4 linked regions of the Mus musculus genome follow. The protein of the gene in region 2 interacts with the protein of the main gene of each other region in a pairwise test. Links are inferred from orthologs where the notes say so. Each region holds a gene or a part of one and is shown on either strand. Other genes may lie near its edges. The genes, in order: Ncoa6, Nr1h2, Npy and Med1.

Region 1 (7,388 bases), on a different chromosome or scaffold from region 2:
TAGAGCTCACAAGATGTTTCAGCAGGTTAAAGTGTTTGTTCTGGCCTTCCTTGCCAATGGGAATATTTGCCTACACTTTCATCACATGCACACACAATAATAAGTAAAAATTTAATTTTTTAAGAAATAAAAATGAGAGACAAGTGATGGCTTACTCCAATTTCAGGGGATTCCACAGGCACCAAGCATATATGTGGTGTACAGACATATATAGGCAAAATACCTGTACACATAAAATAAAAATAATTTTTTTAAAAATGTATAATTCTTCCACCCTAGCACAGCTATTTACTTTTTAAAGGAAGACTTCCATGTTTATCTGTTGTTTTCATTTCTCCATCTGGTCTGTTTAAAGCAGTTCTCCTCTCGTCTATCATTTTCTGTTGTTACCTGTCTTAATGTTCTGTTAACTTTTAATACTTCCTGAAAAAATTAGTTTTTAATCTCTTGCCTCTTAAACCGTTTTATTGATACTAAATCAGCACTAGATTTAGTATCAATAACTGAATAATCCTAACTGCTATTGGATACTGAAATAATTGTTGCTTGGATGACTGTATACTTGTATTTATAGTGTTTATGGAGTTCAAGTTTGACTTTATGAGGCTGGTTTAGAAAGCCTTTCTGAAACTCAGGAAGAAGTGTGATGTGTAACCAGTGGGCAGTTTATGCTTCTCTCTCAAGCTAGAGCATGGACTGGTCTGTAACTTCATTAGATTGCCACTTTATAGCTCCTATTTAAAGTTATAAAAAAAAAATCAGAGCTAGGACAAGGTTCGATAGTTAAAGAGCTTGCTGTGAAAGCATGAGAACCACAGTTTGGATTCCAAGAAGCCACATAAGCTGAGAGAGTGTGGCAGCTACCCACAATCCCAGGGGTTGGGAAATAGAGACCTGCACAGACCACACATATTCAAATGTGCATAACACGTACACACCATGCATGTATACATATATACACCAAAAATGACAGGAACATGCATTCAAGGTATATATAGCTCAGTAGTAGAGTACCTTCCCAGCTTATAAGAGGCCTTAAATTCATCGGTTTTATTTTTGGTGTTTTGAGATAGGATCTTACCATGTAGTTTAGGCTGCCCTTGAATTTATGACAGTTCTATTGCCTCAGCTTTCCAGGTGCTAGCATTACAGACATCGGCCACTATGCCCAGCTGAGAAAACTTTCAAGTCAAGCATAGTGGTACAGTTCAAGGCAGTGGAGCACACAGTTTCAGAGCAGCCTGCTAATATCGATGTCCTGTCGCAACAGAACAGACAAAATAAGCCAGATGGTTTCTCAGTTGAAGTGGGTGGGGTAGATTGTGAATTTAACTCCAGTAGACTTCATTCTAAGTATATAGAAGGTTGTGGGTTCGATGTTCAATGCCACAGTAAGATTTGGAGATAAAGCAAGTAGCTATAGGAAAATTCCAAGGCTCTAACAATAAACAATTCATCTGGCCAGACAGTACCAACAGTGCCTTTGGTTGAAAGAGAACTTAGAACAAGTCCCATATGGTCCAGTAGGGACTGTCACAGAGTAGGATCACTAAACTTTCAGCATCTTCCTGTTTCTAGGTCTCTTAAGCAGAGGTACCCTGTCCTTAGGCTATACTGTAACTATCTTCTTTAAAGCACAGCATCCAGATCTCACACACATAGTCTTTGAAAGGCATAATTACTTTTCAAAGAAGCATTTTTGAAATGTCTTTTCTGTGTTCCTGAGTTTTTTCTAGAGGACACTGGTACATTCTTTGTTTCCCTTGTTTACTCATAATGAGGCTCATTTTCTAGCCCATGATGGTTTTTAAGTTTTATTCACAGTAAGGTAGTTACAAACTATGCTATAAAACTGATAATACTTCATTTAATATGAAAGTAAACTTTATTTTCTAATGTTGTCTTTAAGTTACTATGTAAAATAAAGACATGTTTTTCTTAGTGTATGAAAATGTAAGCAATTACCCCCACCCTATATCATACCTCCAGAGTCTAAAATACTCACAGAAAGTGTGTTAAACATGTGCATTTATGTTGGTTATTATGTATATGTATGATAGGTGCCTTTCTAAGTAATGTAATTGGAGTACCTTAATATGATGATAATTTTTTGTTCTTTGGTTTTGTTTCTTAAGGTGGTCAAGGAGCTGGTCCTCCTCAAAACCAGATGCAGGTGTCTCACGGGCCACCAAATATGATGCAACCCAGCCTCATGGGAATTCATGGCAACATAAACAACCAGCAGGCTGGTAGCTCTGGGGTTCCTCAGGTGACCCTGGGCAACATGCAAGGCCAGCCCCAGCAAGGCCCACCATCTCAGCTGATGGGCATGCACCAACAGATTGTGCCCTCACAGGGCCAAATGGCCCAGCAACAAGGAACTTTGAACCCTCAAAATCCTATGATCCTTTCAAGGGCCCAGCTTATGCCACAGGGCCAGATGATGGTGAACGCTCAAAACCAAAATCTTGGACCTTCACCCCAAAGGATGACCCCACCCAAGCAGATGCTTCCCCAGCAGGGCCCACAAATGATGGCACCACATAACCAGATGATGGGGCCTCAGGGGCAAGTTTTGCTCCAGCAGAACCCAATGATAGAGCAAATAATGACCAATCAGATGCAGGGGAATAAGGCGCAATTTAACTCTCAGAACCAATCCAATGTCATGCCGGGACCAGCACAAATAATGAGGGGACCAACTCCGAATATGCAAGGAAACATGGTGCAATTCACAGGACAGATGTCAGGACAGATGCTGCCTCAGCAAGGACCTGTGAACAACAGTCCATCTCAGGTTATGGGGATTCAGGGGCAGGTTCTGCGGCCACCAGGACCCAGTCCACACATGGCCCAGCAACATAATGATCCAGTTACCACAGCAAATAATGATGTCAACCTGTCTCAGATGATGCCTGATGTCAGCATGCAGCAAGCCAGCATGGTCCCCCCACATGTGCAGAGCATGCAGGGAAACAGTGCTTCGGGAAGCCACTTCTCGGGCCATGGAGTGTCTTTCAATGCACCATTTGGTGGTGCACCCAATGGAAGTCAGATGTCTTGTGGTCAAAATCCAGGCTTTCCCGTCAATAAAGATGTAACGTTAACGAGCCCATTGTTGGTCAACTTACTACAGAGTGACATTTCTGCAGGCCATTTTGGTGTAAACAATAAACAAAATAATACCAATGCAAATAAACCGAAGAAGAAGAAACCGCCTCGGAAGAAGAAAAATTGTCACCAAGATCTAAAGTAAGTTATGATCAGTTTACCTCAAATGTGACTCAGTTGTTTCTGTGTGGATATTTGTTGACAGATTTTTGTTTTGTTTAAGATTTATTATTTATTTTATGTATATGAGTACACTATATATAGCTGTCTTCAGACATACTAGAAGAAGGCATCGGATCCCATTACAGATGGTTGTGAGCCACCATGTGGGTGCTGGAAACTGAACTCAGGACCTCTGGAAGAGCAGTCAGTGCTCTGAACCACTGAGCCATCTCTTCAGCCCTTTGTTTTGTTTTTAAGACAGGATTTCACTGTGTAGCCTTGGCTGTCCTGCAACTCACTCTGTAGACAGGTTGGTCTCAAAGTCACAGGAGATCTGTCTGCCTCTGTCTCTTGAGTGCTGGGATTAAAGGTGTGCACTACTCCCTTAGCCTGAAAAGTGACCAGTGATATCCCACTGCCATTCTATAGAGCACAGACTTGAATGTTATGCTGGCTGTTGGGGTATTCGGGGAATGTGTTTGCTGAAGCAAAACTGATCGTGAAGACACCCTGCATCTAGCCAATAGGGGAAAAAATTTTTACATGTGTGCTTTTTCTCTAAAAATCTCTTACCGTCCCTAAAAGCTTCAATCAGTTTCCCTTATGTAAAAGTTCCCCAGAGGAGCTCTTTCATAAAACACAACAGGAAGGATAATTAACAATTATGTTTCATATCCTAAAACTACATATTAAGTTATGTTTCTGATTTTTGGCTAAGTGTTTGTGGTAGATTTTCAGTCTTTAATCATTAAAATGAGTTCAGAGACATTATCAACAGGGACTAGTGACTGGTGACTACAAAACAGTTTGAGATAAATTGCTAGGCCAATTATGGTGGCTCACACTTGTTATCTCAACACTCAGGGAGCTGAGACAGGAGCCTAGCTTGAGCTACCTAGGGAGACCTCAGAGAGAAGGGGAAAGATGGAATGGGGGAACTAGAGACAGAAAGAAAACTCCAACAGGGGAGCTTTGTCTAAATGAGCTTAAATGTTCAAACTAACTCCAGCTGCCTTTATCCAGGCTTTTCTACAACGTGCTTTGGTTTTAGTCTATCACAGTAACTTGCTACTTCTTGAGTCTTAAATATTAAACGTCAGTCACTATATATTAACAGCATATATTTTCCTGAATTCAGACTTATTTTCCTTATACCTCAGTTAAATTCTTGCTGTTATCAAGTTGTCTGGCTTACCCCACCCCACCCCTACCCCTAATGTGAGTGCACTGCAGCTGTCTCAGACACACCAGAAGAGGGCATCGGATCCCATTACAGATGGCTGTGAGCTACCTCTGGAAGAACAGCCAGTGCTCTTAACCACTGATCCATCTCTCCAGCCCTATTAACCTGTCTAAATAACATTTTTTTTAAAGATTTTTATTTATTATTATATGTAAGTACACTGTAGCTGTCTTCAGACACACCAGAAGAGGAAGTCAGATCTTGTTACGGATGGTTGTGAGCCACCATGTGGTTGCTGGGATTTGAACTCTGGACCTTCGGAAGAGCAGTCGGGTGCTCTTACCCACTGAGCCATTTCACCAGCCCTAAATAACATTTTTTATGGTAGTAATTATCTTATTCCCCTCAGTATGCTAGAAATAAAATTATACTTATTCATTTGCCATTAGTATGTTTTTGCTGTCTTCACCAGCCTTCTGGTGAATTGTTGATTCAACACACTTCTAAAAGGGTCTTAAACAGCATCAGGCAGGGCTCCTAAGAAAGAGAGGCTTAGGAGGAAGCTAACCTACCTCCAGTTCTACCATTATCTTACCATGAAACCTGTCTTAGACTATTAGTGTTTCTTTCATTGTTTTAGCTATAAAAAATTTTTAAGTGAAGGATACCACAAAATCTTCATTTATAATTTGAAATAACTGGAAAGTTATATAAGGAACAAATTGGCATAGTGATTTGGTTGTCCTTAGGACCTGTTAAATGCTTGGGGGGGGGTCTCTTATTGTTTATGTGTGGGTATTTTGGCTGCGTGTGTCTGTACACCACATGCTTCTGTATCTGATGCTACCGGAGGCTAGATAAGAGTGTCAGGTCTCCTGGATCTACAGTGACAGGTGGTTATGAGCTGCCATGGTGATGCTAGGAATTGAACCTGGATCCTCTGGAAGAGCAGCTATAGCTCATAACCTCTGAGCCATCTCTCCAGTCTTATGCTGCTGCTGCTGGTGCTGTTTTTTAAAGGAATTTGATGGTTTATAAAACTATACAGAGTGTTATGGGACAAAATACTGTTTACAAGGGGGTGACCATAATCAAATCAAAGGGAAATTAGTTTAGGAAAGGAAGATACAAATGGGAATAAAAAATAAACCAAATGAGGAATATAAGCACACTGGATCCTCAAAAATGTGGGCATGAGTAGGAAAAAAAGAATGTTTTCATTTTTTTCTTTCCCACTAGAATTCTTTTTTTATTTTTTATTTTTTGGTTTTTGTTTGTTTGTTTGGTTGGTTGTTTTTTTGAGACAGGGTTTCTCTGTATAGCCCTGGCTGTCCTGGAACTCAGTTTGTAGACCAGGCTGGTCTCGAACTCAGAAATCTGCCTGCCTCTGCCTCCCGAGTGCTGGAATTAAAGGCGTGTGCCACCACGCCCGGCTTCCCACTAGAATTCTAAGTTACAGAAAGAATCCAATGGTTAATGTCTCCAAGTCTTCGTTCCACAGCAAAGCTAAGTAGCTTTGTTGTGGTATTTTCCACCTTTATTGTTTGAGTACCGTCTCCATCCAGTTGGCAGACATGTAAAGTTACCTTAGGCTGCTGAATCCCTGGCATCTGGGTTGCATTAATAGCTACACTGGAGTCGGTATCACAGGAGTGACACTGCAGAGTACTGGAAGCTCAGAGTCCTGCTCAAGCTAACATCAAAGGTCATTATATAAAACATAGTATCAGGAATTAGAGAGTGACACTGAGTAAGGACACTGCTAAGATTAAATGAACTGTAAGGTTTAATGAAATGGCCAGGTTACTCTTATGTCACTAGTAAGAATCCAGACTAGAAAGATACAAATAATGGTAAGAGCAATATATAAACACATTGTTGTTGTTTAAAGTAGGAAGAGGTTGCACTAGATTCCTGTGTTCCTTATACAGCTTACTCAATCTGTGCTACTTGTGTTTTAGCACCCCAGATAATCGTCCAACTGGTCTAGAGGAAGTTGATCAACAGTCATTACCTGGAGAACAAGGAATCAACTTGGACACCACAGGCCCCAAACTGCCAGACTTTTCAAACCGGCCACCAGGTAATAAGATACTAGCTAAAATTATAAACTTTGCACTGCATATACACCTTTACAAGGCTTCTTTCCTTCCGTCAAACAATAATGCTCTCTGTCTACTAACTAGACTGCTTCAGGAATATACTGTGCAAGCACTGCATTGGTTAAGTAAATACTTAAATATAATGTCCATAGGTACATGTAAATGCACACACATGCAGACGTGCTTAAACTGTCTTCTTCATTAGTCCTCAAACCAGACTTAGTGCAAAGTGCCTTTTTTGGTCAGCATTGTAGTTTTAGTTGCCATCAAAATAAAATATGATAGTACAGAGATCTACTCACTGTATCCTGCTTGTCTGCAGTTCTTACTTCCTGAGACGTTTTCAAAGCAGAGAACTACTGCTAGGACTTAAAGCAAGATGACTTTTTTAGTAAAAGAAAATTTATTCTGACTCTTTAAAACATAAGCAATAATCATGTGATTACTGTCAGCTCAATAGCTTAAAATGAATAGTTTCAATAGTATTGAAGCCCCTTCACTGATTATAAAATGTTATCTTTTCAATGTTAAAGAGCATGGTTTTATAAAAATCAGAAATTGATTCTTTCCAACCCAGGTATCATGGCACCAAGACCAGATATCACAATTTCTCTGCACCCATTTTTTTTCTTGGTCTAAACAATGACTTATAACTTTATTCCAGAATTCAAGTCAAAGTTTCACAAGCCCTCTCCTATAGATATAGAGAATTAATGCTTTGTTTCTTCCTCTTAAGTAATTTCACCTATTCTTTGGCATATTAATGAAAGTGACATTATTTTTTAGAGTTAACCTTTTATCTGCTTTTAATTTATAAATTTATATGTTTC
Region 2 (7,845 bases):
CCACAAATCATTTCCTGACTTATGACACTCATGGCCAGATGCAGTCCTCAGCTTTTGAAAACCTGGCCCTAAGAAGTGTTCTTTTGGGCTGGTGAGATGGCTCAGTGGGTAAGAGCACCCGACTGCTCTTCCAAAGGTCCGGAGTTCAAATCCCAGCAACCACATGGTGGCTCACAACCACCCATAATGAGATCTGATGCCCTCTTCTGGTGTGTCTGAAGACAGCTACAGTGTACTTACATATAATAATAAAATAAATAAAATTAAAAAAAAAAAAAAAAAAAAAAAGAAGTGTTCTTTTGAGACCCTCCTCTTAAAGTTCCTCTCCTTTTCCACTGGCCTCCATCCGCCTTAGTGTCTCAAACTATGCTGTATGAAGATAACCTGTCTTCGGCGGAGCGACCCCTACCCCTGTGGCCTGAACCTAGACCAAGCGCAGTCACCTGGGCAGAGAGATGGCCCACCCTCTCCACACTGGGCTCAGGAATGGCTTGTACTCAAACTTTATTTTTGTTTTTTTATTAAATAAAAGGGGCAGAAGAGAGGGCCTGTGGTCTCCCAACTGTGGGGGGCCACCTGCCCTAACCTCTCTCCACTCAAGGTGCATGGTGTGGTAGGCTGAGGTGTAAGCGTGGGTGGGAGGGCAGCTGGGAACGGTCAGAGGCTAGGACCTGTGACCCTCACCACTCTTGGAAGACTCAATGGGTGGGGTGGGGCCTTCTAGTGCCAACTGCCGCTGAGTTTGAGGCTGAGCCCGAGGGACTGGGCCGTGACAATGTCCTCCCACCCCAGGAGGAGAGGTGAAGAGTCCATCTTCAAGAAGACACCACCAAGGCTGGGGCACTTGTGGCTGCCCCTACTCGTGCACATCCCAGATCTCGGACAGCAAGGGCGGCAGCTTCTTGTCCTGGAGTCGCAATGCAAAGACCTGCTCCGAGTGCACGGAGCTGAGGGTGCGCAGGCTCACCAGCTTCATGAGCATGCGTGGGAAGCGGAGCTGGTCCTGCAGGGAGAGGAGGCAAGTCGGTCCTGCTGGGGCCCTGTCCTGCAAAGCCAGCTTTGTCTGGAAAGCCAGCACCCTGAGTGGTCAGGCCCCAGGCTCAGTGTGCCCAACATGTGCCACTGGACCCCAATACTGAGACTGCTCATATACAACAGGCAGCTCCCGTACCTGTGGGCGCTTGATCCTCGTGTAGGAGAGGAGCGCCTCCACGTAGGGCTGCTGCAGGGCCTCCACACGGCTGGGCTCCTGCACATTAGGCCGATCGGCTGAGAAGATGTTGATGGCGATAAGCAAGGCATACTCTGCATCGTCCAGGCCCAGCCGCCGCATGGCCCGCGAGAACTCGAAGATGGGATTGATGAATTCCACCTGCAAGCCTGCAAGAGCAGCCCCAGCCCAGCTTCACACCGGACCCTGGTCCCAGGGCACTCAAAGGGGAAGGAAGGACAGCCTGTGACAGTTACTCCGGCTTCCGCCCCACACAGACCCTGTGAGTGCCTCTTACACGATGCATCTGGCCTCGCTAAACATGATCTTTCCTTGCCAGTGCCTGCCTGGCCTGGAGGGCCAACGGGGCAGAAACCCCAGGACCAAGTCAGTGCCTTCCACAGACCTGCACGGTGGAAGTCGTCCTTGCTGTAGGTGAAGTCCTTCAGGAACGTGATGCATTCTGTCTCGTGGTTGTAGCGTCTGGCTGTTTCTAGCAACATGATCTGGAGGTGACAAGGTACAGGGCTCTTCAGCTGCCCCAGAGTCAAATGTGCCAAGACCAGCAGGCTGCCACCCTTCTGCCAGGTAAGACATTCTTAACTTTCCTTCCTTCAACTCTATCACCCACTGCCCCATCCAAGGCCACTAACCCCACATTACCGTGAGGCCCAGGCTAGAGGTTTAATTCTTAGCATTCAGAACTCTGCACACAGTTAACTCTCAATACTTCATTATCCTTGATTTGGCTCCAATATCCATTCCTTTGGAGTCTTTGGGTCATTTTCCTGTTTAACAGCCCATCTGATATCCTCCGTTATTCTCTACCTCAGCCCATTTCCCTTTTCTCCCTGGCTGGCTCTCTGGAGGCTCCAGATACCTTGTTGGATGGGACCCTGCAGCTGACTACACCCCACAAGGGTCAGGACATGCCTGTACCATGTTCAGCTCTGGTCTCGTCCTAGAGCCTAGTTATTACCTCAATGGTGGACGCCTTCAGGAGGGCGATCTGGTCCTCCCGGCCCAACTGCAAGAACCCTGGCACCTGCTTGGCAAAGTCCACAATCTCCTGGACCGAGATGATGGCTAGCTCGGTGAAGTGGGCAAAGCGTTGCTGACGGGCATCTCGGGACTGAGGGTCTGCACCCAGGGGCCAGGGCTGGGACACAAAAGACCACGGTCACGTGGGGGACTCGCACGCCCTAGGAAACCCCTCCCTAGCCTGGGTGGGCTCTGTCCACAGGGCCGGGCAGGGCGATACCGTGACTTTGGGCTGGTCGGAGAAAGATCGTTTGTTGCACTGCAGCTGCGCGGCAACTAACTGCTGGATCATCAGCTCCTGAGCCGCGGTCAGCTGGATGCCCTCTCCTTCCCCGGAGCCCTGGCTGCTTGCTTCCGAAGTGCCAGGGGAGGCCGCTGGCCGGCCTGAGCTGCTGGCTGCTGGCTCAGATGGGGGTGGTGGCTGCTGCTGTTGCTGCTTCTGAATCCTTTTCTTCCGAATCTGCTCCTCAGAGAGCACGCCTGCGGGAAAGCCGGCCTCAGAGGCGGGCCTCAGCCTCACTTACACCTCCCCTTGCAGGTGACCCGCTCTCCCTCTAGCCCCACCCCTTGCTTACACTGCTCCCGCATGCCAGCCTCCTTGCACTTGCGCAGCCGGCAGAGCTGGCACTTGCGCCGCATGAAGGCATCCATCTGGCAGGTTCCGCTGCCCCGACAGGCATAGCGCCCGGCCCCACCGTGGACCACACTGCGCCGGAAGAAGCCTTTGCAGCCTTCACAGCTGAGCACGTTGTAGTGGAAGCCCGAAGCCTTGTCTCCGCACACGCGGCACAGCTCATGGCCCAGCATCTTCGGGGCCGGCCCCTTCTTCCGCTTGCGCTCAGGCTCATCCTCTGGCTCTAAGATGACTTGGGGTGAGCAGATGCCATGAGAGATAGCGACAAAGAGAAACAGCAGCCGGGGAACGGGCCATGGGAGGTCCCGAAGCGAGGGTGAGAGGACGGGGCTGCAACGCCAAGGGAAAGATCTGCAGGTCGGCGGGCTCCGGAGGACGAGTCGGCGGTGTCAGGGAGAAAAGGAAGGGAAAGCGGACCAAAAGACAGGGGCCACCATCTCCCCGCCCTTCCTTCACAAAGCCCCACACCCCTGTTCCTGTCTCCCCATCTCACCCACGATGTAGGCAGAGCTGGACCCTTCAGAGCCTGGAGGAGGATCAGTCTCCTGCCCCTCTTCCTTAATAGTGGGTGACGTGGCGGAGGTACTGGGCTGAGGAGAACCATTCCCTAGGAAAAGGAAGACAGGACAGTGAGCTTCTCCAACACTGTGGAAGGGGCTGGCTAGGGAAAGCCCGTCACTCACCAGGCACGGGAGTGTCCAGAGAACTTGTGGGGGAAGACATAGTGGGTCACGAAGCAGCCTGCTGAACATAGGGGAGCCAGCCAATTACAGGGCATAATAGGGGTGTCTCTTCTTCCAGTGCTCACGGACTCTTGAGACATGATCTCATACAGCTCAGGCTACCCGAACTATGTGGCTGAACAGCTTGAACCACCTCCAAAATCTTGGAACACACTACTCTAGGCTGTCCTGGGATCTTCCGCACTCCTGCCTCGGCCTCTCAAGTGCTGCCATTACAAGACTGTGCCACACCTCAGTGTTTTTAACTTCTATATTGAGCCCCCACTCCCAGCCCTAGTTCCTAATAAACATCACACACTTTAACATGCCCAACCCGGCCCACTGCTCCTTCCACCTCTCTACGAATCATGACCTCAGAGAGCCCAACAACTCTATTCCTCTTCTGTGAGCACCAACTGTGCTCTTATCATGGGAGATCCTAACTTTGCCCCGCCTCTCCCATCAGGGCGCAACCATTACCCTTCTACCATAGGCTCCTTCAAGGCTTTAACGCACCCCAATACAGACCCCAGACCCTACCCATCCCATCAAGTCCCTGGCCCCACCCCTTCCCACTCTGGAGCAGAAACCCAAATTCCGCCCCGTTCCTCCTAGGCTCCGCCCCTCTCATTCCCCCAAAGCCAATTATAGGTCTTCACTGTGCCACGCCCTCCATGCCTCTGCCCCTCCCAATCCCCCCCAACAGTGGTCTAGGCCCCGCCCCAAGAATCAAAAGCCTTTAATCACAGACTATCTACAGCAGGCCTTCTGCCCATCTGTGTCCCGCCCCCGCCCACCAACCATAGGCTTTCCCTACGCCCCGCCCCGTAGAGTCACGCCCACCTTGTTCCAGGCCCCGCCCCTCTCCGTGCACCAGGGGGAGGCGGGGCTCATGACTGCACCGGCGATCGGGAGGGGGGTCGCAGGGGGTCTCCGACTCTGTTGCCCTGGAAACGGCCGTGGGAGGCGAGAGCTGCGAGGAAAGTGAGGGAAGGATGCGCGCGCTAAGCGGGACCCACGGCGATCCGCGTACCGGGCTCAGTCCCACCTGCCCGGCCGCCCGGCGCACTTGCCTCTGTGTCCGCACCGGTGATTGTGCCTCCACAGCACTTTGGAAGTAACTTCAGAAGCCTGGGAGTAGCTCGAAGCAACAGCGCTTGCTGAGCGAAAAGCAAAAGTAACTTCGCCACTTCTTCCGGCAACCCCGCTGCGCGTCACTTCCGGAAGTAGGCGGACCGGGAAAGGTGACAGACTTCCGGTCTGCCAGGGCGCCACCGACTGTGAGGCCTCGGCCGGAAGTGGCACACCGGAAGTTTATTTCTTCTGGTAGTTCCCCTCTGGGACTCAGAAAAAAGTTCCGGAAAGTTCTTTCGTTTCTTTTCGCAGGTGGCTAACGAAGCAGGTTTTAACCTTTTTGAGTAGTTTAAAGTTCTCTACTTTTGTAGCGGTGCTGCATGGCTGCTTTTTAAAAAAATTTTTGTCTTGATTTTGAGACAGGATCTCTTATTTCAAGGGTGGCCTTAAACTTCTGAGCCTGTTGCCTTTACCTCCCCATTATTGCGGTAGCAGCTCCTCTTCCAGCCCTGTATGTTGGTTCTAAATATTTTAAATTTGGAGATGGCAAGATGGTTACAGGATGGTTTTAAGCCTAAAAAGCTTAAAGGCTTTTCATACCTTAAACTTCTCCAGCTCAGGGCTTGGGCTGCCCTTCCCTTTATAATCCAGCCGATTTGGTTACTGGGTCCTTTACTCTCCTGGCTCGCCTCTCTCTCCTTCTCCTTCTCCTCCTCCTCACATGTCCTGATTCTGGATCTTGTTCACTTTGGACTCTCTTGATGTCCCCGCCTCGGGAACTTTTTTTTTTTTTTTTAAGATTTATTTATTTATGTATATGTGAGTACACTGTAGCTGTCTTTAGACACACCAGAAGAGGGCATCAGATCTCATTACGGATGGTTGTGAGCCACAATGTGGTTGCTGGGATTTGAACTCAGGACCTTCAGAAAAGCAATTGGTGCTCTTAACTGCTGAGCCATCTCTCCAGCCCAGGAACTTTTTTATACAAGAATTTATTTTTGCATTCAGCTTCATAATAGGAAGAAGTAAATATAAAAAAGGCAAATTGGGTGCAGACCCATGCCTGCAATAAGCAAACAGACCCAGGCAAGGCAAGAGGATTGCTTTTAGTTGGAAGCCAAATTGAGCTAGGAAGTGAGACCTGGCCATCAGCTAAATGTGAATAAACAAGTAGCCTCAACCCCTCTCCCATAAAAGTAATAATACCAGCTTTTTCACAAAAGATTGAAATACTTGTGTGAATCTCAGATGGAAAACATTCAGAGATTGTTTCTCCGCACTCCCCACTTATGGACAGTTGGGAATCTTTATTAAGCACAAATTCTTGCTTTTACTTAACTTTTGTTGCTGTTGTTCTTGGTTTTGTTTTGTTTTGTTTTTTGTTGTTGTTGTTTTGGTTTTGTTTTGTTTAGGTTTGGTTTTTTCGAGACAGCGTTTCTCTGTATAGTCCTGGCTGTCCTGGAACTCACTTTGTAGACCAGGCTGGCCTCGGACTCAGAAATCCGCCTGCCTCTGCCTCCCAAGTGCTGGGATTAAAGGCGTGCGCCACCACCGCCCGGCCACTGTTGTTCTTGTTGATTTGTTTGTTTTGCAAGGCAGGGTTTCTTTGTGTAGCCATGGCTGTCCTAGAACTGCTTCTGTAGACCAGGCTGGCCTTCATCTCCTAAGAGAGTTGGCCAAGGCCTCTGCCTCCCATGTGCTAGGATTAGAAGTGCATACCACCACTACCTGGTTTAACCCCCACCCCCTTTTAAAAGCATGGTCTCGCCATTCTAGCTGTCCTAGAACTCTATGTACACCAGGTTGGCTTCCAGGTCAGAGATAGATCCTCCTGCCTCTGCCTCATGAGTACTGGGATTAAAAGTGCCATGCTATGATAATCTAACAAATTCTTACAAAGTTGAGGCTGGAGCCTACGTTACCTCAGTCATGCAACAAAATTGGTCCTGAGACCCAGCCACTAACCCATGCTTTTTTTCAGAAATAAGTGATAGGTCTCAAAACAAACAAACAAAAGCCAAAGCCTGGACGGATAGCTGAGGTGCATATTAATATGTGGACTCGGCGCCAGTCCCTCTCAGTATCACCAATACCTGTTAGTGTATAGTTACCCCTACCCTCAGCCTTTTCCCCAAGATTCTCATTCCCACATAATCCAGTTGTTTTGGCTACATGTCCCTTAGCTCTCTTGGTCCTCTTTGTGTCCTGGTTCCCCCATCCTCCCTCTCTCACCCCTGACCCCATGGCCCGGTTTATTCTGTTGGCCCAGTTCAGTCTGGACTCTTACAAATGCCTCCGGATGGTCTCTTCCCTATATCTACAATAAACCTCCTCTGCCATAACTGGGACCTGTCATGCGCTCACTGTTTTTCATTAAGCATGTATTTATACACTTATATATGTATGTGTGTTTATGTTTACATTTAATATACATTATATTAGTAAATTGTCACATACTGTTTGAATTCACTGAGATGCTGGCCCTGGAAGCAGGGTTGCTCCCCACTCCAAACCTAAACATATGACTTAGTGTCCTCTAGGACACTGAGGTTATCTGAGGTTGGACTGGTTCCCGAGGCCCTCTGAGCCCGGGGGGGGGGGGGGGCGGCGGATAGCACCTCCTCAAAGCAAATGACCCAACCACTTTTATCCCTGTGTGCGTGAATGAGTGTACTGAGAAGTCTGGAATCTTGGTTTTTAAAAGAACATAGAACTATTATACAACATGTTTTTGTTTTAGTCCAAGGCGTGGGGATGTGGGGCTGTTTGAAACACTTGACTGACTTGCCTGGTGCTCTAGCAGAGGCATGGTTTTGCCAGCTGCAGATAGTTTCTGCAATTGTATAGTCTTTAGAATTCTGGGAACTTTTCAGAGCGTATATAAATGCTAGGGCCCCCAGAGGTGGACTGGTGACTGGTTGTTGTCAGTGGCAGTTTGTTAAGTAGTCGAGGGCAAAGAAGAAATTAGATATCCTGAGTTCAAAGATCAAACTTGCCCCAAGGAACTCGATAACCCTAATCAACAGGAAGTAGTCTAACAATAACGTTACCCCTTTCTCACTCCTGACTTTATTCAGGGATCTCTTTCCCCTCTATCCTTTTTTCTCTCATACCTAGTGTTAGGAGATTGGCCCAGGGTGGAAGAAAAGGGGGTGAAGAGT
Region 3 (7,889 bases), on a different chromosome or scaffold from region 2:
TGCACGCACTCGCTAAACAGATACAATTTAAAGGTTACATATACTTAATTTTTCTGAAGTACTTTATATACAGTTTATTATTGAAATTATATTATAATTACTTCATTTACCCCCTTCTATTTCTCCCTACAAACCCTCCCACATACCTCTTCCCCCAGCTCATGGAAGTCATAGTTGGTTCTGTTTCTTCCCTGGGTTCTGGGGATTGAACTCAGGTCATCAGTGATGCACAAATGAAGCTGCTGCCCGAGTGCACCCACACTTACATCCCGGTCATCACTGCTCCCCCCTTACACATCCCGACATACCCTGGATCTTGCACTCTCCCCTCTCTGTTGGAGACACTAATGCTTTCCCTGAGGCATGATGGGGTCCTACTGGCCAACAGAAATAGTAGGATATGGTAAGGACAATATATGGACCTGAGGTTACATTCCTCTGTAAAGATAAAATAAACTACCTGCTACAGAACACTGCTAAGGGTGTTGACAAGTTGATAGCTAATTACACAATTTTCTCCATTCACTGGAAAGGCGTGGAACATCAGCAGCCACTCCATTTCCAAATGAAAACTTGGCCTGGTCCAGATGGATTAACAAATAGGCACAACAGCTGGACAAAGCTGACAGATGTTGTTCTAAGTGCCAACCCAGCAGAACTAAATCCAAATACGTTGGCGAGATTTCTCATTGCTCCTGTGCTGAGACTCAAGGGGAGCAAAAGCAAACAATGCTCATCCTCATCACCCAACGCTCACATCATTTGTTAAGATTTTCTGCAAGATTAGACTCGAGCTGGTGGCTTGCACTTGGTTAACCTGCCCTTCCGTTGATTTTGTTCATCTTCACACTTTGGGCAACCAACCTGAATTCATTTACCTCTATTATGCTTCAGAGAGTCAAAAGGACAGGCAAGTGGTTTCCCTATTTTCCAGTCAAAATTCTCCCTGTATTGTGGCAGTTTCTGCATGCTCATAAGACTTATCCAAATGGTGGCTGGGCTCAGGGCTCTTTCTCTAACAGCTCCACACTATATACCAGCAGCACTCACTTCTGGTTGTACCAAAACAGTCTCCCCTCAACGTTGCTGTATGTCCTAGGGAGTAAAACTCACCTCCACCTGAGAGCTACTGTTCTAAGGAACCACACAAACAAGACCCATAGACTAGAACAAATGATTTGGCCTGCTGAGGCAGTAAGTCAGCAGCATGCACAGCTACAGGAGAACAGTTACAAACAGGTCTGGCAGAAGGAAGGAAGAGAATAATTATAGATAAAACAGTCACACATAACACGGTAATTTTCAAAGGCGTGGACTTCTGTGCATGAATCTTTGGTGGAAAGTCAACAAGTGCACAAATGGAGCTTCTTGTGGTTTCTAAAGATAACTTTTACCAGGATGATACAGGTTCATTTTCAGAATTGAACCAGGTTTTCTTCCTGTGACATGCAAGCCCCTTTCCCTGTTGTTTCTCCCCCCCCCTCAAAGATGGTGGAGATTCCATTGAATGTTAATGATGTGGTCCCATCCACAGAAGCTCAGCAGAGGGTTCTAGCTCCATAACCCAAGAAAGCTTTCTTAAAATGTCCTTAGCTTTGTGATCTGCAAAGTGGAGACAATGAAATTCACTTCAAAGTTTTGAAGAAAAGACTGAATGGGAGGACTAGAGAAACATGAAATGGGATCATTCCATACACTGAGGCAAAGTCATATAGCAGCAGTCTTTGCAGAGAGAGAGAGAGAGAGAGAGAGAGAGAGAGAGAGAGAGAGAGAGTTCTATATGTCGTATCTAAATAATAAAGTTTGTTTTTTTAAAACAAACAATAACCAAACAGCCAAACAAAACCAAAAATAAACAAACAACAAAAACCATGGTGTTGTGGTTGGAAAGATGGCTCAGTGGTTAAGAGCACTGGCTTAACTACCAGAGGTCCTGAGTTCAATTCCCAGCAACCACATGGTGGCTCACAACCCATCTGTAATGGGATCTGATTCCCTCTTCTGGCTTGCATTAAGACAGAATGCTATACATAAAATACATACATAAATCTTGATAATGCTATCATTTCAATTGTGTAATTTATTTTTGATCTGTATGGATTAAAAAAAGAAACAAACAAACCTGAAGTCATTGACTTTCTGGGAAGTCTTTTTATTAGGCTCAAAAACACAATTGCTTTTTGCTAGTCAAAATGGTCAGATTTCAAAAGATTATGAGCCTGTATTACTTAAGCAATTCTGTATACATTGGGATTGTTTTCCCCAGAGGGCTTTCAGAATGCCACATACCTTTCTGATGAAATTAAGAATACACAACTGTTTTAGAAGCACAACCTCCCTTTTGCATCCCATCCAAACATCCCCTGGGTCGCGAGCAGTTTAACCTCTCTCTGGAAATCTACTATGCATAATTGAAACATGCTAAGTAAAGAACATTAATGCCTCCAAAGGGCTTGCCTATATGGTCCTTCAAGGTTCTCAGTAATTCTCAGTAATTGAAATGTGTTGTTAAATGATTTAGAACTAAGATGCACCAATTTTGCAGACTAAGTCCCATATTGTTTGTAAAATAGCGTGGATTTTATTTTTCCTGCTTGATTTTAATGCTGAGAGGAAAGGCAAGGCTCGCCTCTGACTTTCTGGACATTAAAAGTACAGATTGTGGTCTGTCTCTCAGGTCCCAGGCAGTTGGAGCTGTAGCCATCAGAGTCCCTAATGTAAAGGCTTTGTTCTCTTTTGTTTCTTCTTAATGGGGCACTTTCTTTTCAGAACTCAGTTGCTATAAAATGGGAAAAGTCAGCCTTTTTATTAGTTCAGAAGAAGCCCATGGTATTTATTTATTTATTTATTTATTTATTTATTTCCCTAAATGCAGCCACTCCCTTTGCCCTGGGCAGGCTCAAAGATCTCTCCACCCTTTTGACAGCTGGATTGTGTCCTTGGTTTTCTTTGACTGTGGTTGTTTACTCTAAATCAGGGTTCCTCTTCTCCCTACACCTTTACACTTCTGCACCCCTGCCCAATGCAGGCCTTTCCCCCGAGATATGTGCTGGGTAAATCTCCAACTGATGTAAGCAAAAAAGGCAGGAAAGGTAAGTGGCAGACAGAGGACAGCCTAGAGGCACTGAACCTTGGGCTTGGGTCTTGGAGAGAAAGTCTAGTGACAAAGACAATGTATCCAGTTTGTGGAGTGTGTACCCAGCTCACATATTTATCTAGAGCTGAATTTATGTCTGATCCTGCCCTATGAACAAGGAGAAAGAAATGATCCCTGATGTCCAAGATCTCCAGAACCGCAAGTTTTCCCGGCTCTAGGTACCAGCCGCGTATGCACCCACCTCTGTCTGGTGATGAGATTGATGTAGTGTCGCAGAGCGGAGTAGTATCTGGCCATGTCCTCTGCTGGCGCGTCCTCGCCCGGATTGTCCGGCTTGGAGGGGTACCCCTCAGCCAGAATGCCCAAACACACGAGCAGAGATAGAGCGAGGGTCAGTCCACACAGCCCCATTCGCTTGTTACCTAGCATCTGTGGATACAGAAGGCTCAGACTTGGAGATGCTGAGATTGCTCGTCTTTGTCCCAATTCCAGCTATCACTCTAGACCCTCATCTAATCCCATCCCAGACCCTAGAATAAAAGCCCAGACTGGGCAGGCGCCACTTCCAAATCTTTAGAAGACCACTTGCCCCGACCTGGATCTTCTGCCCCGTCCACATATTTCAGAAAACTTCCTCCGATTCTCCTGGTGAGAGGCAGAGGTCCCCTTTTCAGAACAGAATTGGAAGTTCTGCCCTCTATCTTAAAGAATGACCACTTTTCTCCTCTCGTTCCTAAATCACCCTTGGAGGAGAAAACTTTTCTTCTGGGTTGCTTTTGATTTGTGTGGCTACAAGCGCTGTGACAGTCGGATACCCAGAGGCTCAGTTCGGATTTTGGAGGCAACAGAGCTCACCGTGCTAGAGACAATACTTGGGGGAATCTCCCACTAGGAGCACACATGCAATCTGGGTTCCTGGTTGTAACCAACCAACCAACCAAACAAACAAACAACCAAACAAAACCCCACCGCTGCCCTGGGATAGGTGTTCCCAGGTTCTTCTCCCTACCCTCAAAAGATAAGAGGCACGGAGGCGGGGCGCCCAGATTGGAGGGTCCCGGGGAAGGGCAGGTGGACAGTAGAACCTGAGTCCAGCAAGTGAAATTTAGGCGCCCCAAAGAGCTGGGTGTCAAGCTGGCAGAGCAAGCTCAGGGGACCGGCTGCGGGGCAAGTTCACTGGCGTCTGGGAGCCCGCGCCCCTGTCCCAGTTGATCCTGGCACTCACCGTGGCGGGCGGGCAGTCGTCGCTGAGCGGCGGGTGCTCTGCTCTGGGTGCCTCTGTGAGAGAAGAGATCCACCGGTGGGATGCGGAGAGCGGGTCGCCCACAGGCTTTTATGGAGCGCCCTTGTCGCGGCAGGAGGGGCCTCGGGGGCAGTCACGCCCGGGTGACTCCCACAGCCACTTCCCGCCCCCAGCGGCGGGGGAGGAGGCTGGAGCCACTGCCGCTCGAGTGGCGGCGTCTGGAGCCACCCACACCCCAATTCTAAGCGGCCCGCTCTGCGGGGAGAAGGGAACAGTCAAGAGTGAGCACCCTCGGAGCCCTCTCTCTATCCCCGACCGTCGAGTCCCGCTAGGGAGATGAAGCGGGACCGCTTAGGTTGCCTGTCGCGGGAATTGTCAGCTCTCTGCGTGCGGGTCTGTAGGGACCTGAATATTCTACTTGGGGAGCATATCTGGGGCCCGCGGGATAACTGCGCGCTCTGGGAGGGAGGCAGGCGAGCGAGGTTTTTCCCGCTCCCGGTGCAGGTGTGCGGGACCGCAAGGTCCCAGTGGCTTCCATAGACCCATTGGATCTACTGGTCTCCCCAAAAGGTGGGCCCTCCCCCAAGCACTCTCCCCAACGCTGCTAGCCGGGTTCGGCCTCAGCCAGAAACTCCCCGAGGCTGCCACTGGGAGCCCGCGGTCCATGAGCTTCTGTATCTAGAGTGGAAAGTGGCGGCGATTCGCACCCCTGTCTGTAAACCCTGTGAAGTCCCGAGTGAGCTTGGTTAGCGTCTGAATGAGCACTTGCTTTCAGATTGAAATGGAGCAGATTAAAAAACCAACACCAGTGTGCTTGTCGCGTTAAACTTGTTGAATAAATATGAACGATATTGAAGTTATGTTTACCAGATAGGGATTTTTACAAGGTACGCTTGAGTAAGTGCCCCTGGAAGTTTGAATCTAAGTGAAATGGTCCATTGCTAAAGTGGAATTTACGCGTTATTTTAAAGCTAAACTAAATGATTTCGTTTGAGTGTCACTTTGCGGGTTGTTTAAATAGTGCTAAATTGACTACTAATAAGAGGGAGAGAGGGAGGGAGGGAGAGAGGGAGGGAGGGAGGGAGGAAGAGAGAGAGAGAGAGTGAGAGAGAGAGAGAGAGAGAGAGAGAGAGAGAGAGAGAGAGAGAGAGACTATGTGATCGAATGATAAACCAGAACAACAATATCCCTCGCAGCTGGAAGACTTCACTTTCCCTACGTCAGAAACCTGCACCAGGGCCACAAACACTGAGCTGTCAGGGCTGCTTTTGTGCCCACATGAGGACATTTGATAAAAGGCAAAGCATCTAACAAGTCCTCTCTGATAAGGAGGAAGGCACACACTACTGTTCAATAATGTAATTATATTTTTGTAGTGAATCAGAGATTCACATCAGTTGAAGCCTGGATTTAGCAGGAGTCACAGGATCTCGGAGAAAGTACACCTTAGGGCGCGAGGGAGGGGCACCACTTTTGAGCAGGGACTCTGGGAATCTGATTCACTTCCTTTATAATGTCGGTGCTTGAAAACAAGAACTTTTCCCATCAGCATTTGGAAAATAAAGTCAAGGGAGGGTGTGCCCAGGATGTCACACTGTTCTCTTCCTTGTTGTCCAAGCTGCATCATCTGGCCTTGAGCTCTCAACATTCTGCTGATACCACTCCATCAATTAACTCCTTTGGTGGCTTCCTGAAATCATTGGTAGCTCATAGAAACAACCTCTCCCCCAACAAACAAAATCAAACGTCATTCAAAGCAGCAGTGTCCTAGCTGCTGGCTCTCTCCTTTGTTCCAAAGTCAACTTCATTGACTTTTTATTTATATGCGTGATCATTCATTGTAATAGCTTTTCTAAACTATCAATAAAATATACTAAGAAGCTTCGGATGTTTGAAAGATTCCCTTGGATACACATTCACGAATCCATAAAGAACATAGGTTCATCACCTCCTGGACTTTTGACATCCCTCTGACAGTGCCCTCTCCTGCTACTCCCGGTTCCCTTCCTCCATGGGTCTGTCTCCTGACATACAGAGTTGTTTGCATATCTAGCCCAGCTCCACAATAGCTTCTCATCTGTGCTTTTAATTTTTTTTAATCCAACACCCTTAAGCTAAGACTCACCCAAATGTCCACAGCACACACTGTACCGTTGACACATTTCCATGCTAAGACACCCCTCAACTTCAAGAACCAACTCAGCTTCTCCTAGATCCCAGGTTCCTTCCAGCTTGTACTGTGACTAACTCTGCAAGGGCATTGATTGATAAGTCACTGTGTTGATGTAAGCAGTCATTTCCCATAGGGGAACAAACATCAAGTCATCAACTGACGTTAGCTCCATCCCACAGGTCACTGCCAGTCTATTTTGATTTGTTTTTTTTTTTTTCATTCTATTTTGGCCAGTTCCTATTGCTACATCTTTAGTTACTTCATTTATTCTGTTTCAATATGCGATCCTTGTCAGTTTTATTCAGTGATTTCGCACCTTAGACAATATAACTTTCATCTTTAGAATTTCAATATGGGTCTCTTTAATACCCATCATGTCAACTCTTTATTCTAGGTTTTTAACACATCATTATTATTACTATTATTTTGACATTTGAAATAGGTTCTCCATATGTAGTCTAAGATGACCTTAAACTCCCAATAACTGTTTCAGTCTCCCAAGTCTTAGGATTGCAGGCCTGTGCTGTCAGGCCCAGACTGATATGCATAATCAATAACTTCTATCATCCATACAATTGCTGTATTTGGATTGCTTCCCACCACATGATGACCTGCATTTTCCCTCTTCTTCATCATCTTTGATAGGACTTCAGAGACTGTGGATTTTACATTGTTGGCCCTTGGACTCTTTTTTATATGTCCCTATAAACACTTGGGCTTTGTTCTGGAAGGATGAAAACTCTGGCAAGTTGCACCTTGCGCTTCAGTTTTTTTGAGGAGGCCAAGCTGGCTTTAGTCTAGGGTTAATTTTGTTTTCTGCTTTCAAAGATCATTCTTGCTTTATCTGATAACTGACAGCTGAGGGGGACAGGTTTCCCCCTCTGGCTGTTGGGCTACTCCCAGCCTTTGTGAGCTTGGGACCTTCCTTACCCAGGCCCCTGGGTGGCTCTTTGTCTGACCTTGAGTGGCTTCTTTGAAAGTAGGATTTATTTAGCACTCAACTAAGTTTTGGTGGGAGATACTGCAGATCCCCTGATAGTCCCACTGCAGGACTTTCCAGGCTCAGGCCCACCTCCCAAGGCTGCCTGACTCGCTCAGCTCTGCATGGCAACCTGGCAGGCTCTCCAGTCAGTTCTCTGGTGCCTTTTGCCCGACACTCCTCATTTGTTTTCCATTGCCAGGAGATCACTAACAATTAGCAGCCGATGCCTATGTTCTGAGAGTTGTTTTATTTCTTTTTGTTTAAGGTTGTCATCATTTCTAGAAGCCTCTGAGCATGGTCTTTTCATTATAGCCCCTGCTTCTTCACTCTGGGCTTGGTTACAATGCCACTGTACTCCATGTTTAAGCTATTGTAACTCTGGTCTACCTCACTG
Region 4 (7,920 bases), on a different chromosome or scaffold from region 2:
CCTTGGTCATGCAGCTGTCTTTGAGTCATTTTTGCTCCTGTAAGTATCCCTAATAAAACTCATTGGTTCACGAAGTTGGACTTTCACCCTACCTTGTAGTGAGCTAGCTACCTATCTGGGGGTGAGAAGATGTGTGTGTTGCATTTCCCCAGGAAAGTGTGGTCACACAGTAGCATCCCTACACACATCACAAATACAAAAGCACACTAAGACCGTTTCCAGATATTCACAAAGATCTCTTCTTACTAAATGTGTGCTGCTGGTTCTGCTTTTGTGAACCATGCTGTCTGTTAGGATGGCTTTGGGAAATGTTTGACTAGCCTTTGGTTGGTTCGTTGGAGACATCTCACTATGTAGCCCTGGCTGTCCTGGAACTCACTTTGTAGACCAGGCTAGCCTTGAGTCTCCCTGTCTCTGCCTCAGCAGTGCTGGGATTAAAAGCCTGAATAGCATTTTAAAAAAATTTTTTTTTTTTTTGAGGGCTGCAGAGATAGATCGCCCAGTGTTTAAGAGCACTGGGTGCTCCTCCAGAGGTCTTGAGTTCAATTAGCAACCACATGGTGGTTCATAATCATCTATAATGTGATATGATGCCCTCTGTGGCATGCAGGTATACACACAGATAGAGCACTCATATCCATTAAAAAAATTTTTTTTTGAGACCAGGTCTCTCTACATGAATCTGGTTGGTCTAGAACTTGGTGTGTAGACATGCTGGCCTCTCTGTCACAAATCTGCCTACCTCTGTCTCCAGAGTTCTGCGATTGAAAGTATTCGACACAACCTAGGCAGCAGTGGCACACCCTTTAATCCCAGCACTCTAGGCAGAGGCAGGAGGATCCCTTAGTAGGAGGCCAGCCTGGCCTACAGAGCAAGATCCAGGACAGCCAGGGCTACAGAGAGAAACCATGTCTCAAAAAAAAGAAAGGAAGAAAGAAAGAAAGAAAGAACAAATGAACTACACTAAGATCAGATCTTTTACTCACTGTTGAAGTTTATTCTGATTGTTTCCAGAGGTCATGAACGTCTCAGAATTACAGAAATTGTGTTTGTGAAGATTTATCAAGACATTGACTGAAGATGTTTTTTGTGATTCATATTGTAGAGAGTAAGTTAAACGTGTGTTTTCACTGGTGTTATAAAAATCAATGATAATACATAGTAGAATCAGAAAAAAAAAAGTTCTCTAACCTAAAATCCTATGTAGTCTTATAAAATGTATAAAACTGAATGAAATAGGTTAGACTTGCTTCCAGGGTGTGTAAAAAGCACCAGTACTGGAGTGTAGGTGCTGTGGTGCTGAACATAAGCAGGATGAGGAAGCCGGTGGATCTTTGTGAAGTCAGGCCAGTCTGACCATGCATCCAGGCCCCGAGCAGCCAGAGCTACAGGAGCCCTGTCTCAAAACCAATAAGACAAACAGCAACAAAAGCCTAAAGTACTGCGGTCCTCTTTTTAAGAATTTTAGATATTACTTTAACAGTTTCTGTGCTTGATATAGGTTAAGTCCTTATTTATTTACTATAAATTGTGCATTACCTCTGTACAAATGGGAAACAAATTAAGCTCAATTTAGATCAATATACTGTTAATTTCTGTACAGAGCCAAGCTCAACATGGTAAACGATGATAATGTTTTCCAAAAATCATCTTCTTTGTGTGTGTGAAGTCATTCTTTTTTTGTTTTGTTTTTGTTTGTTTGTTTGTTTTGTTTTTTGGGTTTTTTTTTTTTTTTTGGTTTTTCGAGACAGGGTTTCTCTGTGTAGCCCTGGCTGTCCTGGAACTCACTCTGTAAACCAGGCTGGCCTCCAACTCAGAAATCTGCCTGCCTCTGCCTCCCTAGTTCCTTTCTTTTTCTTTTATTTATTATATATATATGTATGTATGCGTGTATATGTGTATATGTATGTGTGTGTGTGTGTGTATATATATATACTGTACCTGTCTTCAGACACTCCAGAAGAGTGAGTCAGATCTCATTACAGATGGTTGTGAGCCACCATGTGGTTGCTGGGAATTGAACTCAGGACCTCCTGAAGAGCAGTCGGTGCTCTTAAATTAACTGAGCCATCTCTCCAGCCCCTTCTTTCTTTTTTTTAAACAACATAACTGCTTCTGGTTCTTCAGGAAATTTCACCTTCCCACTTTCTCTAGGAATTAAACCCAGGACTTCAGACATGCTAATCAGGTATGTTGCTGGTGAGTTACAAGTCTTGTCATCTTACAAATCTTACTTTTTTGTTGTTTTGTTTTGTTTTTGTCCAGGCAAGGTTTCTCTGTAGCCTTGGCTGTCCAGAAACTTTGTAGACCAGGCTGCCCTCATACTCAGAGATCTACCTGCCTCTCCCTTCAGAGCGCTGGGATTAAAGGTGTGCGCCACCACCAGGCAAACTCTAAACACCCAAACACTAAAACTCACTGGAAATCTTTCAGTAGAGATTATTTTGTAAGGACCGGTTTTCACTATCCCCTTCCTCATTGGGATTATAGGAGTGTGCCACTTTTCCAGGTGCTCAAAGAGCAAACATTTTGTTTCGTTTGAGACAGGGTTTCTCTGTGTAGCCATGGCTGTCCTGGAACTCACACTGTAGACCAGGCTGGCCTCGAACTCAGAGTTCCGCCTGTCTGCTGGGATCAAAGGCTTGAGCCGCCACCACCGCGGGACGGAAGAGCTAACGCTTTTAATTTACAAATTGTGTAACTGTCGGGATGCAAACATAAACTTTCAGAGAGATGTCAACTCTGGGCACACACCCTTAGACGCCAAGGTGTGAATTCTGAGCCAATCGGAGCCGGGCCTGCTAGAGATCCTGCGGGGAGGACGAAATCAGCCAACCTCCGCGAGACTTTGGTGCGGTTCCTTCTTCCTCCGTCTCACAGGAACACGATTAATCTCGCGATCTTTGGGAAGTTCCGTTGGGGAAGATGGCGGCGGCCGCGAGCACCCTTCTCTTCTTGCCGCCGGGGACTTCAGACTGAGCCTTCCCCGGAAGAGTCGGGGCCGCTGGTGCGCCGCTTCCCCGGAGCCCAGGCTAACTTGGTTCCCCTCTGAGTGGCGGGGAAAGGCTCCCCGGCTCGTGGCGGACCCAAGACCTCCCCGCTGTCAGGATGAAGGCTCAGGGGGAAACCGAGGGTGAGTGACTGGGGGGTGGCGGGGAAGGAGGGGCGGTACACCGCTGCGGCGAGCCAATCCGAGAGAGGAGGTGGGGACCCACGCCCCTCCAGGGCCACCGTGCGTGGGACCGGATCCTGGTGGAATGTGCATCTTAGATCCCGACCGAGCCCTACAGATGCTGGAGCGCCTCCTCCGGGGCGCTGCTCCCCCGTCTCCTCCACTCGTGAAAGGTTTTCTGCGGGACGAGGGACGAGGAAGTTGAGCCTCAGGGTACTTTGAGCTTAGCCCGGTGGGACCCAAGGAGAGGGAAACTGAAACTTGTTGATGCTTTGTTCCAGGAGAGATCGCTGAAGATGACACTAGAACAATGTAATGTCAAAGTAATGGAGGGTGTTTTAGCCGGAGTGACTTGCTTGGTTCGATCTTCATCATAGTAAAAGCGGGCCGTTTATTACTTGGAAGGTCATAGTGTTCAAATACTGTGCTGTGTCTTTACGAACTGCTTTCAGTTGTGCACGACCGGTGGCTTTAAAGCTTGGGGGAGAGGTGTTCAGAACTATAAACTGGCAGGAACAATCCCCAAACCAGTTTCCCAGTTGAGGGAAGAAAAGGGAAGGGATAGAATCTTCTTTGTTTCTTGAGACAAGGTCCCCCTGCCTCAGCCTCCCAAGTGCGGGCTTACACACCTCTCGGCCAGCTAAGAGTTTGATTCTTGGTTCAGATACTCCCTCCCACGACCTGGACTGGCTTATCCAAAAATGAAGTCTCGACATTTGTAGCAAAGTGGACGATACTCAAAATAAGCCATATTAAGATAAATAGCACATTTTCTCTTATGAGGAATCTCGACGTAGGTATGTGTTGGTGTGTGTTGGTTGTGAAAACATGGGACCATGTGGGAACAAAGGAGGTCTGCAGGATAGAAAGGTTAGTGGAATATGAAATGAAGTGAGAGGTTTGGCTGTTTGGAGGTTGGGGCAGTGTGGCTCTCAGAGGGAGAGGACTTGGACCAAGTATAATGGCCTATATGTATAAGAATGCCAAAATGATATGCATTGCTTTGTATGTTAATTTAAAGATAATTTAGAGGCTGGGAATGTAGAGCAGTGGTTAGAGTAATGTCTTCTTGTCCATGGGTTCAATTCCCAGCACCAAAAGAAAAGGAAAAAGGGAGCCAGGTGTGGTGGCCCACAGCTTTAATCCCAGCACCTGGGAGGCAGAGGCAGGCGGTTTCTGAGTTCGAGGCCAGCCTGGTCTACAGCGTGAGTTCCAGGACAGCCAGGGCTACGCAGAGAAACCCTGTCTCCAAAAACCAAAACAAAACAAAACAAAAAAAACCCCTAATTATTTTTTTTTTAAAGATTTTATTTATTATATATGTAAGTACACTGTAGTTGTCTTCAGACACTCCAGAAGAGGGTGTCAGATCTCATTATGGATGGTTGTGAGCCACCATGTGGTTGCTGGGAATTGAACTCAGGACCTTCAGAAGAGCAGTTAGTGCTCTTAACCTCTGAGCCATCTCTCCAGCCCTAAAACCCCTAATTATAATAACGTCTTCCTTAAATTGTGCTCCAAGTATATCCTTCAAGGTGTTGTGAGCCCAAGGGTCCAGTGAGAAACCCTGTCTTAAAAACTAACACGCAAAGAGCCAACTGGTGATGGTTCCTGCCTTAGTCCTAGCACTTAGTAGAAAGAGGCAGGTGGATCCCTGAGTTTGAAGCCAGCCAGACCTACAAAGAGACAAGACAGCCAGGGAAGCTCTGTCTCAGCCGTACCTCATAGCGGCACACACCCATAGGAGGCTGATGAAAGGAGACAAGAGGATGCCTTAGAGCATAGTCTGGGCAAGCCTGGGAGGTGACCCATGTTTATAATCCTAGCACTTCATAGGTAGAGGTAGGAGTATGAGGAGGTCACCACTTACATTTCTTTACTAGGAGGTAGGGCATCTACCATATCCACTGTGGGCTCTGGGGCGTGAACCCAGACTCTCATGTTTGGCATTGCGGGTGCCTCTACTCTTGTAGCCATCTTGTCAGCCCTCAAGGTCATGGTCAGCTGGGCTGTGAGAGACTGTCTCAAAATGGAAGAAAAAAAGCAGGGAGGTGGCTGGAGATCGAGCTGAGGGTTTAAGAGCCCTGTGCTTTTGGCATAGGTTCAGGTTTGGTTCCCAGGAAACACATGTCCACGTAGCAACTCACAAGCATTTGTAACTTTAGTTTCAGGAGTCTCGGTGTCTTCTGGCCTCCATGAGCACTGCACAGACATGCCACACATCCATGAGTCAAAAAATCAAAACAATAACAGCAACCCTTCCCCCAAAAAAACCCAAAAAAATGCATACCCAACATATTTTTTTTTGAAATAAAGAATATGTATTTCATGTGTATGGTGGTTTTATCTCCCTGTATTTCTGTGTACCAAGTACATGCCTGGTGTCCTTAGAACCCAGAAGAGGAGAGCAGATCTCCTGGGACTGGAGTTGCATGTGACTGTGAGCTGCCATGTGGGTGCTGGGACTTGAACCCAGAACTTCTGAAAGAGCAGCTAGTGCTCTTTAAAGGATGCATTGGGCATTGTAGAACTGTTTTGATGCCAGTACTTAAGAGGCAGAGGCAGGTGGACCTTTATTTGTTCAAAGCCAGCCTTTTTAGACCCTAACACCAGATAAAACAACACAATGCATCGGGGCCTGGAAGGTCCCATGTACTCATGGTGAAAGGTGAGAACTGGCTGCAGAAAGCCATCTTCTGATCCCCACAGGCACTGTGGCCAGTTTACACCTGTGTTCACACATCACAGACAGCCGGGCATGGTGGCCACGCCTTTAATCCCAGCATTTGGGAGGCAGGCGGATTTCTGAGTTCGAGGCCAGCCTGGTCTACAGAGTTCCAGGACAGCCAGGGCTACTCAGAGAATCCCTGTCTCAAAAAAACAAACAACAACAAAAAAAGACATCCTCACACAAATAATAAACACAGTCTGGTTTGGTTTCTAGTAGTATTTTCAATGTTCGTTTTATATATGTGGATGGTTTGTTTGCATGTATGTCTATGCATCGCATGTGTGGCCGTGGAAACCAGAAGAGGGTGTCAGATCCCCCGGAACTGGAACTGGAGTTAGAAATGTTTGTGAGCTGCCATGTGAATGCTGAGAGTCTCACTCAGGTCCTCTGGAAAAGCAGCAGGTGCTCTAACCACTGAGCCATTTCTCCCTTGGTTTTTATTGTTGCTGTCTGTTTTAAGACAGGGTCTCATTATGCAGACCAGACTGGTCTTGACATGACAAAGGTATGACTGCTTCTGTCTCCTGAGTTTTAAGATACAAGGTGCATGTCACCGTGCCTGGCATAAAAATAAAATTTAAAGCTATCTTCTAAGCTGGACACAGTGTGTACCTGTAGTCACAGTGACTCACGAGGCTAGGGCAGGGGCATTGTCGGTGCTGAAGACTCCAAGGCCAACAAAATGGACAACTTAGTAAGATTCTGTCTCCAGGAAATTACGTTAGACAACCTTGTGTGTTGTGTATATATTTGAGACTTCGATTTCCTTTGTAGCTCAGGCTAGCCTTGAATTTACAAACCTCCTGCCTCGGTGTCTCCAGTGCACGGATGGAATTTATGGGTGAGCATTTTCCTAGCTGGCTTTCTTTATGTTTTGGAGTACATTTATATAAAAGTGCTTTGACAGTTCCTAAGTGAAATACAGGGGTTCTTTTGTAGGAGAAACTGTGGAAGTCTTGATGTCAGAGTGTCTAATGGTGGTTTCTGCTTTCCGTCGTAGACTCAGAGAGGCTGAGTAAGATGAGCTCCCTCCTGGAACGGCTCCATGCAAAATTTAACCAGAACAGACCTTGGAGTGAAACCATTAAGCTTGTGCGTCAAGTAATGGTGAGTATTGGGAAGGTACTGAGAATTACTGCCCAGTTGTACACAACTCATGCTGAATCTTTAAAGGATGCATTGGGCATTGTAGAACTGTAGAAATATCACTTTCAGTTATGTCTAAAGAAATTAATTAAAAAGTACTTTGTAAAAAAAAAATATTTAAGAAGCTAGTTGCCAGGCCGGGCTTGGTGGCTCACGCCTTTAATCCCAGCACTCGGGAGGCAGAGGCAGGCTAATTTCTGAGTAAAAAAAAAAAGGAGAAGCTAGCTCCCGAATGCGCAAGGGTTGCTAGATCCAATGCTGTGTCCGTGCTTTTACTCATCACAAAACAGCATGGTGGTGTTGATTTCCAAGGCCAGCTCAGGAAGAATGTGCCTTAGGAAGGAGGTAGCTTGAATTCCCATCCACAGAGGATTTATTCTAGGACCTCTCACAGATCAGAGGCAAGCAGGTATCTGAGTTCAGGGCTAGCCTAATTTACAGAGTGGATTCCAGGTAAGCCTGGGTGACACAGAGAAACCCTGTCTACAAACAAACAAAAAGGCATTGTCTTTGCACACTATTTATAAACATTCTCCTATATACTTTAAGCCAATCTTTACATTACTTACAACGCTTAACAATACAAATAACATGACTATTTGTTATGCTGTGATGTTTACTGTCAGTACAGAACAGTATTCTTTTCCTTTTTAAAGATTATTTATTTATTTCATGTATGTGGGTGCACTGTCTCTGTCTTCAGACACACCAGAAGAGGGCTTCAGATTCCATTACAAATGGTTGGGAGCCACCATGTGGTTTCTGGGAATTGAACTCAGGAGGAATTGAACTCAGGACCTCTGGAAGAGCAGCCAGTGCTGTTAACCCCTGAGCCACTTCTCCAGCCCACAGTGTTTTTTTTCTATTTGAG

What was found.
Region 1: the proteins of Nr1h2 (region 2) and Ncoa6 interact in a two-hybrid assay, tested with the Homo sapiens proteins (2 studies listed by BioGRID). The link is inferred for Mus musculus from reciprocal best matches to the Homo sapiens genes NR1H2 and NCOA6.
Region 3: the proteins of Nr1h2 (region 2) and Npy interact in a two-hybrid assay, tested with the Homo sapiens proteins (3 studies listed by BioGRID and IntAct). The link is inferred for Mus musculus from reciprocal best matches to the Homo sapiens genes NR1H2 and NPY.
Region 4: the proteins of Nr1h2 (region 2) and Med1 interact in a two-hybrid assay, tested with the Homo sapiens proteins (2 studies listed by BioGRID and IntAct, with this or other methods). The link is inferred for Mus musculus from reciprocal best matches to the Homo sapiens genes NR1H2 and MED1.

Annotation. Positions count from the first base shown.
Region 1 is NC_000068.7:155,410,676-155,418,063, reverse strand, and holds part of Ncoa6 (nuclear receptor coactivator 6), read left to right. Parts: intron 1-2,135; coding exon 2,136-3,252; intron 3,253-6,417; coding exon 6,418-6,539; intron 6,540-7,388. UniProt on the Homo sapiens protein: Nuclear receptor coactivator that directly binds nuclear receptors and stimulates the transcriptional activities in a hormone-dependent fashion. Coactivates expression in an agonist- and AF2-dependent manner.
Region 2 is NC_000073.6:44,549,129-44,556,973, forward strand, and holds Nr1h2 (oxysterols receptor LXR-beta), read right to left. Parts: upstream 4,838-7,845; 5' UTR 4,681-4,837; exon of another isoform or gene 4,677-4,680; intron 4,581-4,676; 5' UTR 4,451-4,580; intron 3,630-4,450; exon of another isoform or gene 3,627-3,629; 5' UTR 3,609-3,626; coding exon 3,569-3,608; intron 3,493-3,568; coding exon 3,379-3,492; exon of another isoform or gene 3,118-3,378; coding exon 2,827-3,117; intron 2,732-2,826; coding exon 2,472-2,731; intron 2,370-2,471; coding exon 2,190-2,369; intron 1,717-2,189; coding exon 1,617-1,716; intron 1,381-1,616; coding exon 1,172-1,380; intron 1,004-1,171; coding exon 857-1,003; 3' UTR 488-856; downstream 1-487. UniProt on the Homo sapiens protein: Nuclear receptor that exhibits a ligand-dependent transcriptional activation activity. Binds preferentially to double-stranded oligonucleotide direct repeats having the consensus half-site sequence 5'-AGGTCA-3' and 4-nt spacing (DR-4).
Region 3 is NC_000072.6:49,819,235-49,827,123, reverse strand, and holds the start of Npy (pro-neuropeptide Y preproprotein), read right to left. Parts: upstream 4,415-7,889; 5' UTR 4,323-4,414; intron 3,527-4,322; coding exon 3,339-3,526; intron 1-3,338. UniProt on the Homo sapiens protein: NPY is implicated in the control of feeding and in secretion of gonadotrophin-release hormone.
Region 4 is NC_000077.6:98,188,272-98,196,191, reverse strand, and holds the start of Med1 (mediator of RNA polymerase II transcription subunit 1), read left to right. Parts: upstream 1-2,898; 5' UTR 2,899-3,108; coding exon 3,109-3,133; intron 3,134-3,285; exon of another isoform or gene 3,286-3,385; intron 3,386-6,903; coding exon 6,904-7,010; intron 7,011-7,920. UniProt on the Homo sapiens protein: Component of the Mediator complex, a coactivator involved in the regulated transcription of nearly all RNA polymerase II-dependent genes.